2 linked regions of the Macaca fascicularis genome follow. The protein of the gene in region 1 purifies or fractionates together with the protein of each later gene. This does not show direct contact. Links are inferred from orthologs where the notes say so. Each region holds a gene or a part of one and is shown in the gene's direction. Other genes may lie near its edges.

What was found. The genes of interacting proteins can lie anywhere in the genome.
Region 2: the proteins of TACC1 (region 1) and FBXW11 purify together in Homo sapiens (affinity purification with mass spectrometry; 3 studies listed by BioGRID and IntAct, counting the BioPlex papers as one, with this or other methods). This does not show direct contact. The link is inferred for Macaca fascicularis from reciprocal best matches to the Homo sapiens genes TACC1 and FBXW11.

The regions. Positions count from the first base shown.
Region 1 is NC_088382.1:42,127,465-42,134,356, forward strand, and holds the start of TACC1 (transforming acidic coiled-coil-containing protein 1), read left to right. Parts: upstream 1-2,474; 5' UTR 2,475-2,551; intron 2,552-4,802; 5' UTR 4,803-4,926; intron 4,927-6,892. UniProt on the Homo sapiens protein: Involved in transcription regulation induced by nuclear receptors, including in T3 thyroid hormone and all-trans retinoic acid pathways. Might promote the nuclear localization of the receptors.
Region 2 is NC_088380.1:178,665,899-178,672,011, reverse strand, and holds part of FBXW11 (F-box/WD repeat-containing protein 11), read left to right. Parts: intron 1-3,099; coding exon 3,100-3,218; intron 3,219-4,775; coding exon 4,776-5,025; intron 5,026-6,113.

The DNA.
Region 1 (6,892 bases):
AAGCCAGAACAGAAAAACATCACCTAGGGTCAGTCTTGGTTCACTGACTAGATAAAAATTATGTGTAATCAGTACATCAACTCAACAATCTAGAAATTGCTAGCCTTAGTCTGTTATACATACAGTATAATTTTTGTAAATGAAAGATACTCCTAAAACATTTGAAACTTTCTAACACGATGAATTGGCAATTTTTATTTCTTTTCTTTTTTTCTTTCTTTTTTTTTTTTTTTTTTTTTTGAGATGGAGTCTTGCTCTGCTGCTCAGGCTAGAGTGCAATGGTACAATCATAGCTCATTGCAGTCTCGATCTCCCAGGCTCAAGTGATCCTCCTGCCTCTCAGCCTGCCAGGTAGCTGGGGGTACAGGCACCACCACACTGGCTAATTTATTTTATTTTATTTTTGTAGAGACAGGGCTTCCCTAGGTTGCTCAGGCTTGTCCTGAACTCCTGGACTCAAGTGATCCTCCTGCCTTGGCCTCCGAAAGTGCTGGGATTACAGGCATGAACCACTGCACCTGGCCTAACAAATTATTTTTTCTTACAATCTTACTTGCACTATGAATGTGCAAGTAATGATAATAATAGTAATAATAACAATAGCTGGTAAAAGATTGCAGTGCAGGCCAGGTGCTGTGGCTCATGCCTATAATCCCAGCACTTTGGGAGGCCAAGGTGGGCGGATCACCTGAGGTCAGGAGTTCGAAACCAACCTGGCCAACATGGCTTCTAATACATAGAACAGAGGAGATATTCTCATTTCCTGCTTGTGAACAAATTCCCAATTAACACTAGGAAAACTACTGAGTTTTGTTGCAGGGGTCAAAAGTACCCTAAAGGTTCCCAATTTGTGGTGGCATTTGACAGTTCACAGACATGCTACCCCCTGGGCGGTTACCAACAACTGAATCTTATGATTAGCCTCTCAGCCTGGTTACTTCCACCCAATCACCTCCACAAATCACAACCAGGGTCTTCCAGGCTTATCCCTGGGGTGGGGAGAAGGGGTGGGGAGCAGAGGAGATAGAGTTTGTAATTTGAAATGGGACCCCATTTGAAAAAGGTAGCCAATTCCTGTGTGACCATTATAGAAAGACCTAGAACTAAGAGACACCCTTGAAGACCATCATTACCTGTTACCCCTCTTTACCACACAGGATGCACACTGTGCTATGGGGAACACAATCACACAGACAAGGCTGAGTGAGGCAGCACGCTACCGCTCACAGTCTAAGAACAAGAACACCGGCATTGCAATCTTTTTTTCTTTTCTTTTTCTTTTTTTTTGAGACGGAGTCTCACTCCGTCACCCAGGCTGGAGTGCAGTGGCGTGATCTAGGCTCACTGCAACCTCCACCTCTATGGTTCAAGAGATTCTTGTGCCTCAGCCTCCCAAGTAGCTGGGATTACAGATGCCCACAACCACACCTGGCTAATTTTTGTATTTTTAGTGGAGACGGGGTTTCCCATGTTGGCCAGACTGGTTTTGAATTTCTGACCTCAGGTGATCTGCCCACCTTGGCCTCCCAAAGTGCTGGGGGATTACAGGCATGAGCCACAGCACCCCACCAGCACTGCAATATTTGACCAGCTATTGTTATTATTACTATTATTATCATTAGAGACAGGATATCACTCTGTTGCCCAGGCTGGATTGCCGTGGCTCAATCATAGCTCACTGCAGCCTCCAACTCCTGGGCTCAAGTAGTTGGGACTACAGACACAAGCTACTGTGCCAGGCTAATTTTTAAATGTTATGTAGAGACAGGGTTTCACTATGTTGCCCAAGCTGGTCTCAACCTCCTGAGCTCAAGCAATTTTCCTGCCTCAGCCTTCCAAAGGGCGGGGATTATGGGCGCAAACCACTGTGCCCAGTCCAACCAGCTGTTATTACTATTTTTCAGTTAGAAGGAGAAAAAAACAAAAAACAGAGGGATGTGGGTGTGTATGTTTCTTGGAATCCAAGCGATCGGGGGGAAAAATCCGTCAAAAATGTTCTCAGTACAAAAGTTGGCAAAACAACTCTCTTTTTTTAAACTGAACTTTGTAATAGGAGAAATCCTCTCACAAGGAGAGGATGTTTCTGAGCCAAGTTGAAGCAAAAGAAACTTTTTCCAGCATGTCAGGAACGAAGCTGACGTTCCATTAAGAAAAAAAAAAAAAAAAAGAAGAAGAAGAAGAAGTGCTAGAGGAAGGAGTAAGAGGGGAAAAGGCACCAGAATTCAGACGTAGCTTTAAATTCCAGACAGGGCCAGCGTCGGGAGCACGTAGGAAGCGCCCCTCGGAAAGGAGCCGGAGCCCCGGCTGACTTCGCACTTGAGCTCCAGCCCCATGGACATTTCCTGTTCTGCCTCTGGAAATTCAAGCTGAAAGTTACAAAACATCCTTTTCCCTGGAACCAAGTGCTTGGTTGGGAGACCATGCCCTCCCCTTCCTTCCTCGGAACTCCTCCCTGATCGCCCCGCGGCTTCCCCAGGAGAGATGCCAAATCAGCGGTAGCAGGTGGCGCAGAAGGGAGAGGGGAGCGACCCTGGGGACCCCCGCCGAAGAGGTAGGAAACTGGGGACTGCACGTTCCTGAGGCCACTTCACACTTATTGAGCAAAACGAGGTGCTCGTCCTTTAAGCCCGGGGCTGAGGTGTTTCCCTCGCTTGGGTATGCACTGGGTGGTGGGTGGACTGGCCACGAATCTGGAATAAGTTCAGGCATTCCTTTTCCCTCTCTCTTTCCAAGTTGAACTTTAATCCTTGGGTCTCTGGAACCACATATTTTGTTTCGTGTGGGAGGTACTGAAAGGCAGAATTCTAGGAAGTAAATATTGTGAATCCCTGATTTTTCTCTTTTCTTTTCTTTTCCCTTTGCTTCTCTCTTCTCTTTTCTTTTTTCTTTCCGCCCCTGAAATGCCCAGGAGCAGTCATAAATACCTTCATCTGGGAATAGATTCGGGGAGAAGTGAGAAGGGGACAGGGCTGGGAAAAGCATTCTCACCACGGTGAGCTGGGCGCGGCTGTTTCCCGGGACCTGGGCCATGTGTTCTTCTGGCCCAGATGCTCTCTCCCTCCTTTCCTTCCACCCATTGCCTTGGAGACAACTACCTTGAGTTGTTTCTCTGGGTGCAGGGATGTGGCACAGACCCTGGTCAGGGCCCTTAAGCATCAGTGCCCTGCGTTTATGGACAGAACCCAGGTGCTGTCTAAAATGTTTCTGTCTGGGGCAAAGCTAACTGGTCTACCCAGTAACCTGCGTGTAGCCCTTGCCTTCGTGAGGCCCGGGCTCCCGGCAGTCGGTCTCTGGAAGGCCAGCCTTGGCAATACACGTGCTGACATTGGACCTGCTCAGAGAACTCAGCATGGCTTCTGCATAAGGACTACTCAGCTGGGTTCACATTTATTATATACATTTGTTTCTCTTAGAAAATGGCTTTTGAACTTAAAAAAATCTTGTGTGGCTGGGCACAGTGTCTCACACCTGTAATCCCAGAACTTTGGGAGGCTGAGGTGGGCAGATCACTTGAGATCAGGAGTTTGAGACTAGCCTGGCCAATATGGTGGAACCCCATCTCTACTATAAATATAAAAATTAGCTGGGCATGGTGGCAGGCACCTGTAATCCCAGCTACTCAGGAGGCTGAGGCAGGAGAATTACCTAAACCCGGGAGGTGGAGGTTACAGTGAGCTGAGATCACACCACTGCGCTTCAGTCTGGGCAACCGAGCAAGACTGTGTCAAAAAAAAAAGAAAAAGAAAGAAAAAGAAAAGAAAACATCTTGTGATCTAAGGACATCCTCGCTCCTGGGAAGGGATGCAGGTCGCCTTTGTGGCGTTCACCGTGGAGCCTGGGGGCACCTCCTCTTCCCACTTCCAACAAAGCAGCTCCATCCTTACCTGACTTTTATGTCGAGGTTCCCAGTTAAAAGCATGCTTTTAAAACAATTTGCAGAACTGCTGACCTGCAATAAGCAGTGCTTTGCCTAGACTGAAAATGACTGCTTATGGAACAAAGGTGATTGACGGAGGGATTTTTAGCTTGCCCCTGTCTAGGCTCTTACTCCATCCTCCCATCCGCCTCCTTTAATGATCGCCTTCTGCCCTGGGGAACCTGCTGGAGGTGGGAGTGCCAACCAGGCTCAGCGAGTGAGCTGTTCCGTCTCAGGCACCTGACCTCCTGTGCAGGGACAGACAAGGGGCAGAGCCCCAGAGAACTGATAATACAACTCGGCCTCTCTCTCCAAGTCTTTTCTGAATTTGTCCTTCTAAGTGTGCTCACGGTTATGAACTATGTGATCAATAATTGTAACAGCTAATTATTGATCTCCCTTTACGATATCAGATTACTTACTGAGCCAGGCATGGGGCTGAGCACATTACACAGATGAGCTCATGGAATCCTCACAAAGCCCTGTAAGGTAGCTTTTGGCCTGACCCCCACTCTGCTGTGTGGAGTGGAAAGGAAGAGCCACTGAGTGACTGGCTTGAGGGCACCCGGCCACTTAATGGTGAAGGTGGGGCTGGGGCCCCTCCCCCTGAGTCTGAGCCACACTGCCTTGAATATTTTTGCAGCCCTGTTTGACAGAAGTAAGAAGGACATTGTTGTGAGTGTGGCTTTTTTGTATTTTATTCAAGAATGCCCCTGAGAATAGGCTAGGAGGAGCAGGGTCACAGGGCCAGGACGGAATGTTCTGTGGGAAGGAAAAGTGCTCCTAAGAATAAGTGGAGTTAGGATTCTTGTCCAAACTGCATCCCTGATAAACATCACTTTTTTCTCTGAGAGTTGGTATAGTTTTTGTTTGTTTTATTTTTTAGATACAGGGTCTTGCTGTGTCATCCAGGCTGGAGTACAGTGGCATAATCCTAGCTCACTGCAGCCTCAATCTCCTGGGCGCAAGTGATTCTCCCACCTGAGCCTCCCCAGGAGCTGAAACTACAGGTATGCACCACCATGCCTGGCAATTTTTTAAAATTTTTTATTTTTTGCGTAGAGATGGGGATCTCCCTATGATGCCCAGGCTGGTCTTGAACTCCTGGTCTCAAGCGATCCTCCTGCCTCAGCTGCCCAAAGTTTCAGGATTACAGGCGTGAGCCACTGTGCCCTACTGAGGTGGTAAGGTTCAATGGGAAAGTGCCAGGCTCTGTAGCCTGACTGCCTGGGTTCACATCTCAGCTCTGCCACATTTTAGCTTGGTCATCTTGGGCAAATTATACAAACCTGTGTGCCTCAGTTTCTTCAAAAATAATATCCTCTGGAGAAAGATGATAACAACAGTACCTATTTCACCAAGATATCACAAAGATAAAATTAGTTAATCCACATGAAGCATTTAGAATTGCATCTGGCATATGGTAAACATTCAATAAATATGTTATGTGTAAAAGAGGTTGTTGTGTTAACCCAAGGAAAAGTAGCTTGGGGGCAGTCTGGAAATAAGAAGTAACTGGTATTTGAAACTATAAAATGGACACCAACAAATGCAATGTAATTTCAGTTTGAGCTGGGGAGAGGATTGTGCTTGGACCGCAGCTAGGAAGGACCCTGGGAGACAGCCTAGGACCTTCGGGGAAAAGCTTATCTGTTCTTCCAGAGATAAAACTGAAAACAACAACAACAACAAAAACTAGTCTTTAGGGTTGGCATTGCCAAATCACATCCTTGCATTAAATGAAGTAAATGTAGGCTGGGCGTGGTGGCTCATGCCTATAATCCCAGCACTTTGGGAGGCCAAGGCAGGCAGATCACTTGAGGCCAGGAGTTTGAGACCAGCCTGGCCAACATGGTGAAACCCCATCTCTACTAAAAATACAAAAATTACCTGGGTGTGGTGCCAGGTGCCTGTAATCTCAGCTACTCCAGAGGCTGAGGCAAGAGAATTGCTTAAGCCCAGGAGGTGGAGGTTGCAGTGAGCCAAGATTGTACCACTGCAATCCAGCCTGGGTGACAAAGTGAGACTCTGTCTCAAAATAACAAGAAAAGAAAAGAAAAGAAAAGAAAAGAAAGGAAAGGAAAGAAAGGGAAAGGAAAGGAAAGGAAAATGGTATAAGTGTAATTTATTTAGCTTTGTAGTTGTGGAAATGAGTCCCACCTCTGACCTAATGTTATATAAAGCAAAAATATGGTTTTTTCTTCTCTCTCTCTCTTTTTTTTTTAATCAATGTCATTGGCTGAACCACTTGTATTTTTGGAAGGATGACTTTAGGATTTCCAACTGAGATATGAAATTTAAGAGCTAAATGTAGCTTATTTACAACAACAATAACAACAAAAGTAGATCATGACTTACAAAAGAATTCTGTGGTTTTTTCGAAGAACAAATTTGTGAGCTCGGCCTGAGTCTGGATTACATGTATAATGATCTTGAAACTAGTTTGCCAATTTTTACTTGAAGTAGAAGTAGATGAGAAATAAATCAATGGCTGACATTGACTGAGCACTTACTACGACCCAGGCATTGTGCTAAGTGCTTCCCGTGCATCACCTCATTTGTTTAAGCCTCATGGCCGCCTGTCAGGTGAATACTATTATTATCCCCGGTTTGCAAATAACGATAGCAAGGTTTAGAGAAGGAGATAAATATGCACAAAAGCAGATAGCTAGTAAGCTCTGGAGTTGGCATTCTAATTTAGGACTATCTAATTTGGGTATGAGTGTTTAAACCCAACATTATAGTTCTAGTAAATCTAATCATTCCATTTGTGTCTGTTTGAAGAGTACGGCACATAGAAGCTGATAAACAACAGTCATAACTCTTGCAACATGCGCACAGCGCTAGTCTGGGCAAAACACACTTGGGCATTTTGGAGAGCAGAGTTTGGAAGATTCAGAGGGCACGGGACAGGAGATGCACGGCGTCATTGCATCTGAGCAAGGAAACTGTTCCAGGCAGCTCCAGGTGTGGGTG
Region 2 (6,113 bases), on another chromosome or scaffold:
TTTCAACATTGTATTAGAACTCCTAGATAACACAATAAGTCAAGAGGAAATAAAAGGTATACAAATTGAGAAGGAAGCATTAGAACTGTCTTTGCTTGTAGATGACATGATTGTGGAAAAAAATGAAAGCATCAACAAAAAAAATCTCCTAGAACTAATAAATGATTATAACAGGTTTGCCAGATACAAGATTAATATACGTAAGTCATTTGCTTACCCATATACCAGCAATGAACAAGTGGAATGTGAAATTAAAAACACAGTAACATGGCTGGGCGCAGTAGCTTACGCCTGTAATCCCAGCACTTCAGGGAGGCCGAGGTGGGTGGATCATCTGCGGTCAGGAGTTCGTGACCAGCCTGGCCAACATGGCAAAGCCCCATCTCTTCTAAAAATACAAAAATTAGCCAGGCATGGTGGTGGGCGCCTGTAGTCTTGCTACTCAGGAGGCTGAGGCAGGAGAATCGCTTGAACCTGGGAGGTGGAGGTTTCAGTGAGCCGAGATCGCGCCATTGCACTTCCAGCCTGGGTAACAGAGTGAGACTCCATCTCAAAAAACACAATAACATTTATATTAGCATCCCCCCACCAAAATGGAATACTTAGGTATAAATCTAACAAAATATGTATAAGATCTATGTGAAGAAAACTGTAAGACTGATTAAAGAAATCAAAGAACTAAATAAATGGGGAGAGACATTTCATGCTCATGAGTGGGAAGACTATTGTGAGGATGTCAGTCATTTCTTCCCAAATTGGTCTATAGGTTCAATGCAGTCTCAGTCAAAATCCCAGCAAGTTATTTTGTGGATATCTACCAGCTGACTGTAATGTTTATATGGAGAAGCAAAAACCAGCATGATATTGAAGTAGAATAAAGACAGAGGACTAACACTACCGTACTTCAAGAATTACTGTAAAACTGCAGTAATCACAATAGTGTGGTGCTGGCAACAGAATGGACAACTAGATCCATGGAACAGAATAGAGAGCCCAGAAATATATACCTTCATAAATATAGTCAGCTGATCTTTTGCAAAGGAGCAAAGACAATACAGTGGAGAAAAGATTGTCTCCAACAAATGGGGCAGAAGCAATTAGATACCATATTGCCTCCCTTACCCCTAAACAATCTAAACACAGATCCTATGTACTTCACAAAAATTAACTCAAAATGGATTAAAGACCTAATTGTAAAACACAAAACCATAAAATTCGTAGAGTATAACATAGGAGAAAATCTAGATGATCTTGAGTTTGTTGATGACTTTTTAGATATAATACCAAAGGCATGACCCATGAAATAAAGAATTAATAAGCTGGACTTTGTTAAAATTAAAAATTTCTGTGAGAGACGTTGTCTAGAGAATGAGAAAACAAGCCACAGACTAGAGAAAATATATGCAAAAGACATACAAAGAACTCTTGAATCTCAGCAGTAAGAAAATAAACAATTAGATTAACCTGATTTTTAAAAATAAGACATAGACCTTAACAGACATCTCACCAATATACAGATGGCATATAAGCATGTGAAAAGATGTTCCACATTGTAAGTCATCAGGGAAATGTGAATTATAACAGTGAGACACTACTACACACCTGTTAGCATGGCCAAAATCCAGAACACTGACAACACCCAATGCTGGCAAGAATGTGGAGCAATAGGAACAGGAACTTTCATTCATTGCTGGTGGAAACAGAAAATGGTACAGCCACTTCAGAAGGCAGTTTGGCAGTTCTTACAAAACTAAACATACTTCTACCATATGATCCAGCAGTGTTGCTACTTAGTATTTACACAACTGAGTCAAAAACTTACATCTACACAAAAACCTGCACCCAGATGTTTATGGCAGCTTTACTGATGATTGCCCAGACTTGGAAGCAACCAGGGTGTCCTTCAGTAGGTGAATGGATAAATAAACTGTAGTATATCTAGACAATGGGATAATCTTCAGCACGAAAAAGGAATGTATATCAAGCCATGAAAAGACAGGGAGGAACCTTCAGTATGTATTACTGTGTGAAAGAAGCCAATGTAAAAAGGCTTCATACTGTATGATTCCAACTCTGTGACATTCTGGAAAAGACAAATCTATGGAGGCAGTAAAAGAAGCGAGAAGAGGAACACTCAGAGCATGAAAACAACTGTTGACAACATTTTACCTCCTTTAATCCTTTTTTCCTTTTCTAAAATACAGTCATTGTGTCACTTTATAGATAATTTTTATTCTGATTTTTAAAAAATGCTTAACTTTGTAATAAAGCATGATCTTTTCTCATTAAACACTTTTCATAGTTTACTTTGAGACTTTTATGAAATGATGGACGTTTCATTTTCCACTTTTTATTTTTGTAAATGTAGGGGTATGCATTTGTAAAAGGTCTTAATAATTAAATGTTGTCATGTTGCTTTCCAGAGAGTGAGCCAGTTCTTTTTTTATTAATTAATTTATTTTTACGAGACATAAAAATAAAATGACAAAGCAGGGTTCTGCTTTGTCACCCAGGCCGGCATACAGTGGTATGATCATAGCTCACTGAAGCCTTGCCTTCTGGGCTCAAGCAATTCTGTCACTTCAGCCTCCTGAGTAGCTGGGACTACAGGGACACACACCACCACGCCTGGCTAATTAAAAAAAAAAAAAAACGCACACACACATACACACACACATTTATGGAGATTGACTTGCTATGTTGCCCAGGCTGGTCTTGAACTTCTGGGCTCAAGCGATCCTTCTGTCTCTGCCTCCCAAAATGTTGGGATTATAGGCATGAACCACAACACCCAGCCAGTGAGCGAATTCTTTTCACAGATTTTATTTTTAAAAAGTCCCCTTTATGAGGCTGTTGATAAGTGTAATAAGATCAATAGCTAAGGGTTCAAATTAAGCAAAATAGCACATCTATCCTTGTAGTTAATCACTATTGTCTGTATTCCTACTTGTCATTTCTTACCTGTTTGATATTCAGTGTTTCTTACTTACTATAACCCAAGTGTGTTTTATTTTATAATCAGAACATAAAGTGGGACAGTAACATTCATCAAAATATAGTATAATAAATCATCGTTTGTGGCTAATCTTGTCTCAATAGATTTGGGATAAAACCAGCCTGGAATGTTTGAAAGTGTTAACGGGACACACAGGCTCTGTCCTCTGTCTGCAGTATGATGAGCGTGTCATTGTAACCGGCTCTTCAGATTCTACGGTGAGGTGAGTGATCTGGCTTCATTGGTCTTAACTTGTAAGCCTTCCCTGAGAAAGTCTGAGATTGACATCCTCCTCTGGGAGAGGCATACACACACTTACATTTTTACATGCTGTATTTCAAACTTTTATTGTAGATATGTTTGAGCAAATTAGGCAGGAAAGCTAATTTTTGTTAAGGGTGTTCTATTCCTGTTGCTGTTCATTATAGAGATGACAACATGCTTTCCTGTAAGAGCATATACCAAGTATTAGGCTGGCTTTCTTCTTTTGGGAAACTGGTCCAGAGCAGAGAGGAGACACTCACTTCCAGGAGTCACTCCCGGACTCTTTCACCACCCCTGCCTAAAGCATCACCACCCGTGCCTGAAGCATCACCACCCCTGCCTGAAGCATCACCACCCCTGCCTGAAGCATCACCACCCCTGCCTGAAGCATCACCACCCCTGCTTGAAGCACGCCTGGTATCCTCTCCTGGACTCAGTGCTTCCGTACCACTGCTTCTGCCAGAGATCATGTCTCAGCCTCAGAGGCCTGAGTCTTTTCCCCTCTGCCCTGTGTGAACTTGTCCTCTTAGGAGATGAGGGTTACAGAAAAGCCATGATGTGGAAGTGCTGCCCCCAGATCCCTGGACATACAAAGCAGTTGGGAGACCCTGGCTTTGTCCATAAAGCAGCTGAGTAAAGAAGTGGATGTGGTGATTGATGAGGCATCATGACTTACCCAGTTTGCAGTGGATAAATAATAGACTCAGAGGTCTGCCAGAGGTCAACAAGAACTGTAAGCTTGGAACCATTCTCAGTTCTTCAGCCAACAAAGCTCCTTCTTCCTTTTATCTCAGACTCAATACAAAATCTGCTTTCTTGAGGAATTGTCTTTTGCCATCAGCATGAGCCTGCAGACACCGTCCCTGAATACCTGACTGCTAAATATACCTAAACTCGAGCAGAGCCAGAATTAGCCACCTTTTCTGAAACCATCTCAGCACTTCTCAACAAATAAAGAAATTGCTTTTTAGGGGCACCTTTTAATCATGCCCTTAGGTTCATTAAGAATGGACCCTGTCTTAGTCTATTTGTGTTGCTATAAATGAATACCCGAGGCTGGGTAATTTATAAAAGAAAAGGGGTTTATTTGACTCATGGTTCTGCAGGCTCTGCAAGAAGCATGGTACCAGCATCTGCTTCTGATGAAGGCTTCGAGCTACTTCTCCTCATGGCAGAAGGCAAAGGCGAGCCAGTGTATGCAGATTACATGTGAGAGAGAAGCAAGAGAGAGGGCGGAGCTGCTAGGCTCTTGTCAACAGCCAGTTCTCTCAGAACTAAGAGTGAACTCCCTCCTATGAGAATGGCACCAAGTCATTCGTGAGGGATCCACCGCCATGACCCAGACACCTCCTGTCAGTCCCCACTTCCAACCCTGAGGATCAGTTTCAACATGAGATTTGGTAGAGTCAGACAAACCATATCCAAGCCATTGCAGACCCAGACAGAACTCAGATGCCAGAATCATTTCCTGGCTATCTCCGTAATTAAGCATCATGCTTTTTCTCTTCTCTCCTAGGGTGTGGGATGTGAACACGGGTGAAGTTCTTAACACATTGATCCACCACAATGAGGCCGTACTGCACTTACGCTTCAGCAATGGACTGATGGTGACCTGTTCCAAGGACCGCTCCATTGCTGTGTGGGACATGGCTTCTGCGACCGATATCACTTTACGCCGTGTCCTGGTTGGCCACCGGGCTGCTGTCAATGTAGTAGACTTTGACGACAAGTACATTGTGTCCGCCTCTGGTGACAGGACCATCAAAGTAAGTATGTCTGCAGTCATAACCCAGCCTCCTCCTGTCCCTTTTAGAACAGAGAGAAAGCAGAGGTGGCTTATACCAACCTGGTACCTGGTAAGATCTTTATTCTCCTCTGTGCTTAGTGTAATGTTTTCAAGGTTCATCCATGTGCTTTGTAGCATCTATCAGCTTTGTCCCATTTTTGTTGTTGTTGTTGTTGTCGTTTTAAGTACAGATGGGGTCTTGCTATATTGCCCAGACTAGTCTTGAACTCCTGGGCTCAAGCATTCCTCGGCCTTCCAAAGTGTTGGGATTAGAAGCATGAGCCACCACACCCAGCCAGTACTTTGTTGTTTCCAGTGGCTGAATAACATTTCATTGTTCTTCTGTTTATTAGTTGATAGACATTTTAGTTGTTTCTATTTTTTCGGCTATTACAGATGATGCTGCTATAAATATTAGTGTAGAAGTTTTCATGTTTTTAATTTTCTTAGGATGGTAACCCTCTGTTTTAACTTTTTTTTTTTTTTTGAAGACAGATCTCACTCTGTCACCCAGGCTGGAGTGCAGTGGCACAGTCATGGTTCACTTCAGCCTTGACCTCCTGGGCTCAAGCCGTCCCTCAGCTCAGGGACCCCTGAGGCTCCCACCTAAGCCTCCCGGCGTAGCTGGGAGTACAGGCACTACCAGGCCCGCCCCCTGCCCTTTTTTTTTTTGTAGAGACCAGGTCTCACTTTGTTGCCCAGGCTTGTGGAACTGCCAAAGTGTTTTCCAAAGGCACTGCACCGTTTTACAGTCCTGCCAGTGGTATGTGGGGGTTTCAGCTTGCGCAAAGAACATCCTTTTCATGACCAGCACTGGAAAGCATTCTTACACCTAGCCCCACAAATCACAAAGTGTGTAGCATCAGGCTTTAGACTGGATAGTTGGGAAGCTAAACAACTAGGATTTATATGTGGCAGCTTACTCCCACAGTCACACCAATTGGTATGAGACCAGTGCCTGAAAGTTGAGAGGGTCTGAGCTTTATTACAAAACAGCTGTTTCATAATACCAGCATGGAGGATTTCTCCATATCCTCGCCAACACTTGCTGTTATTTGTCTCTTTTCT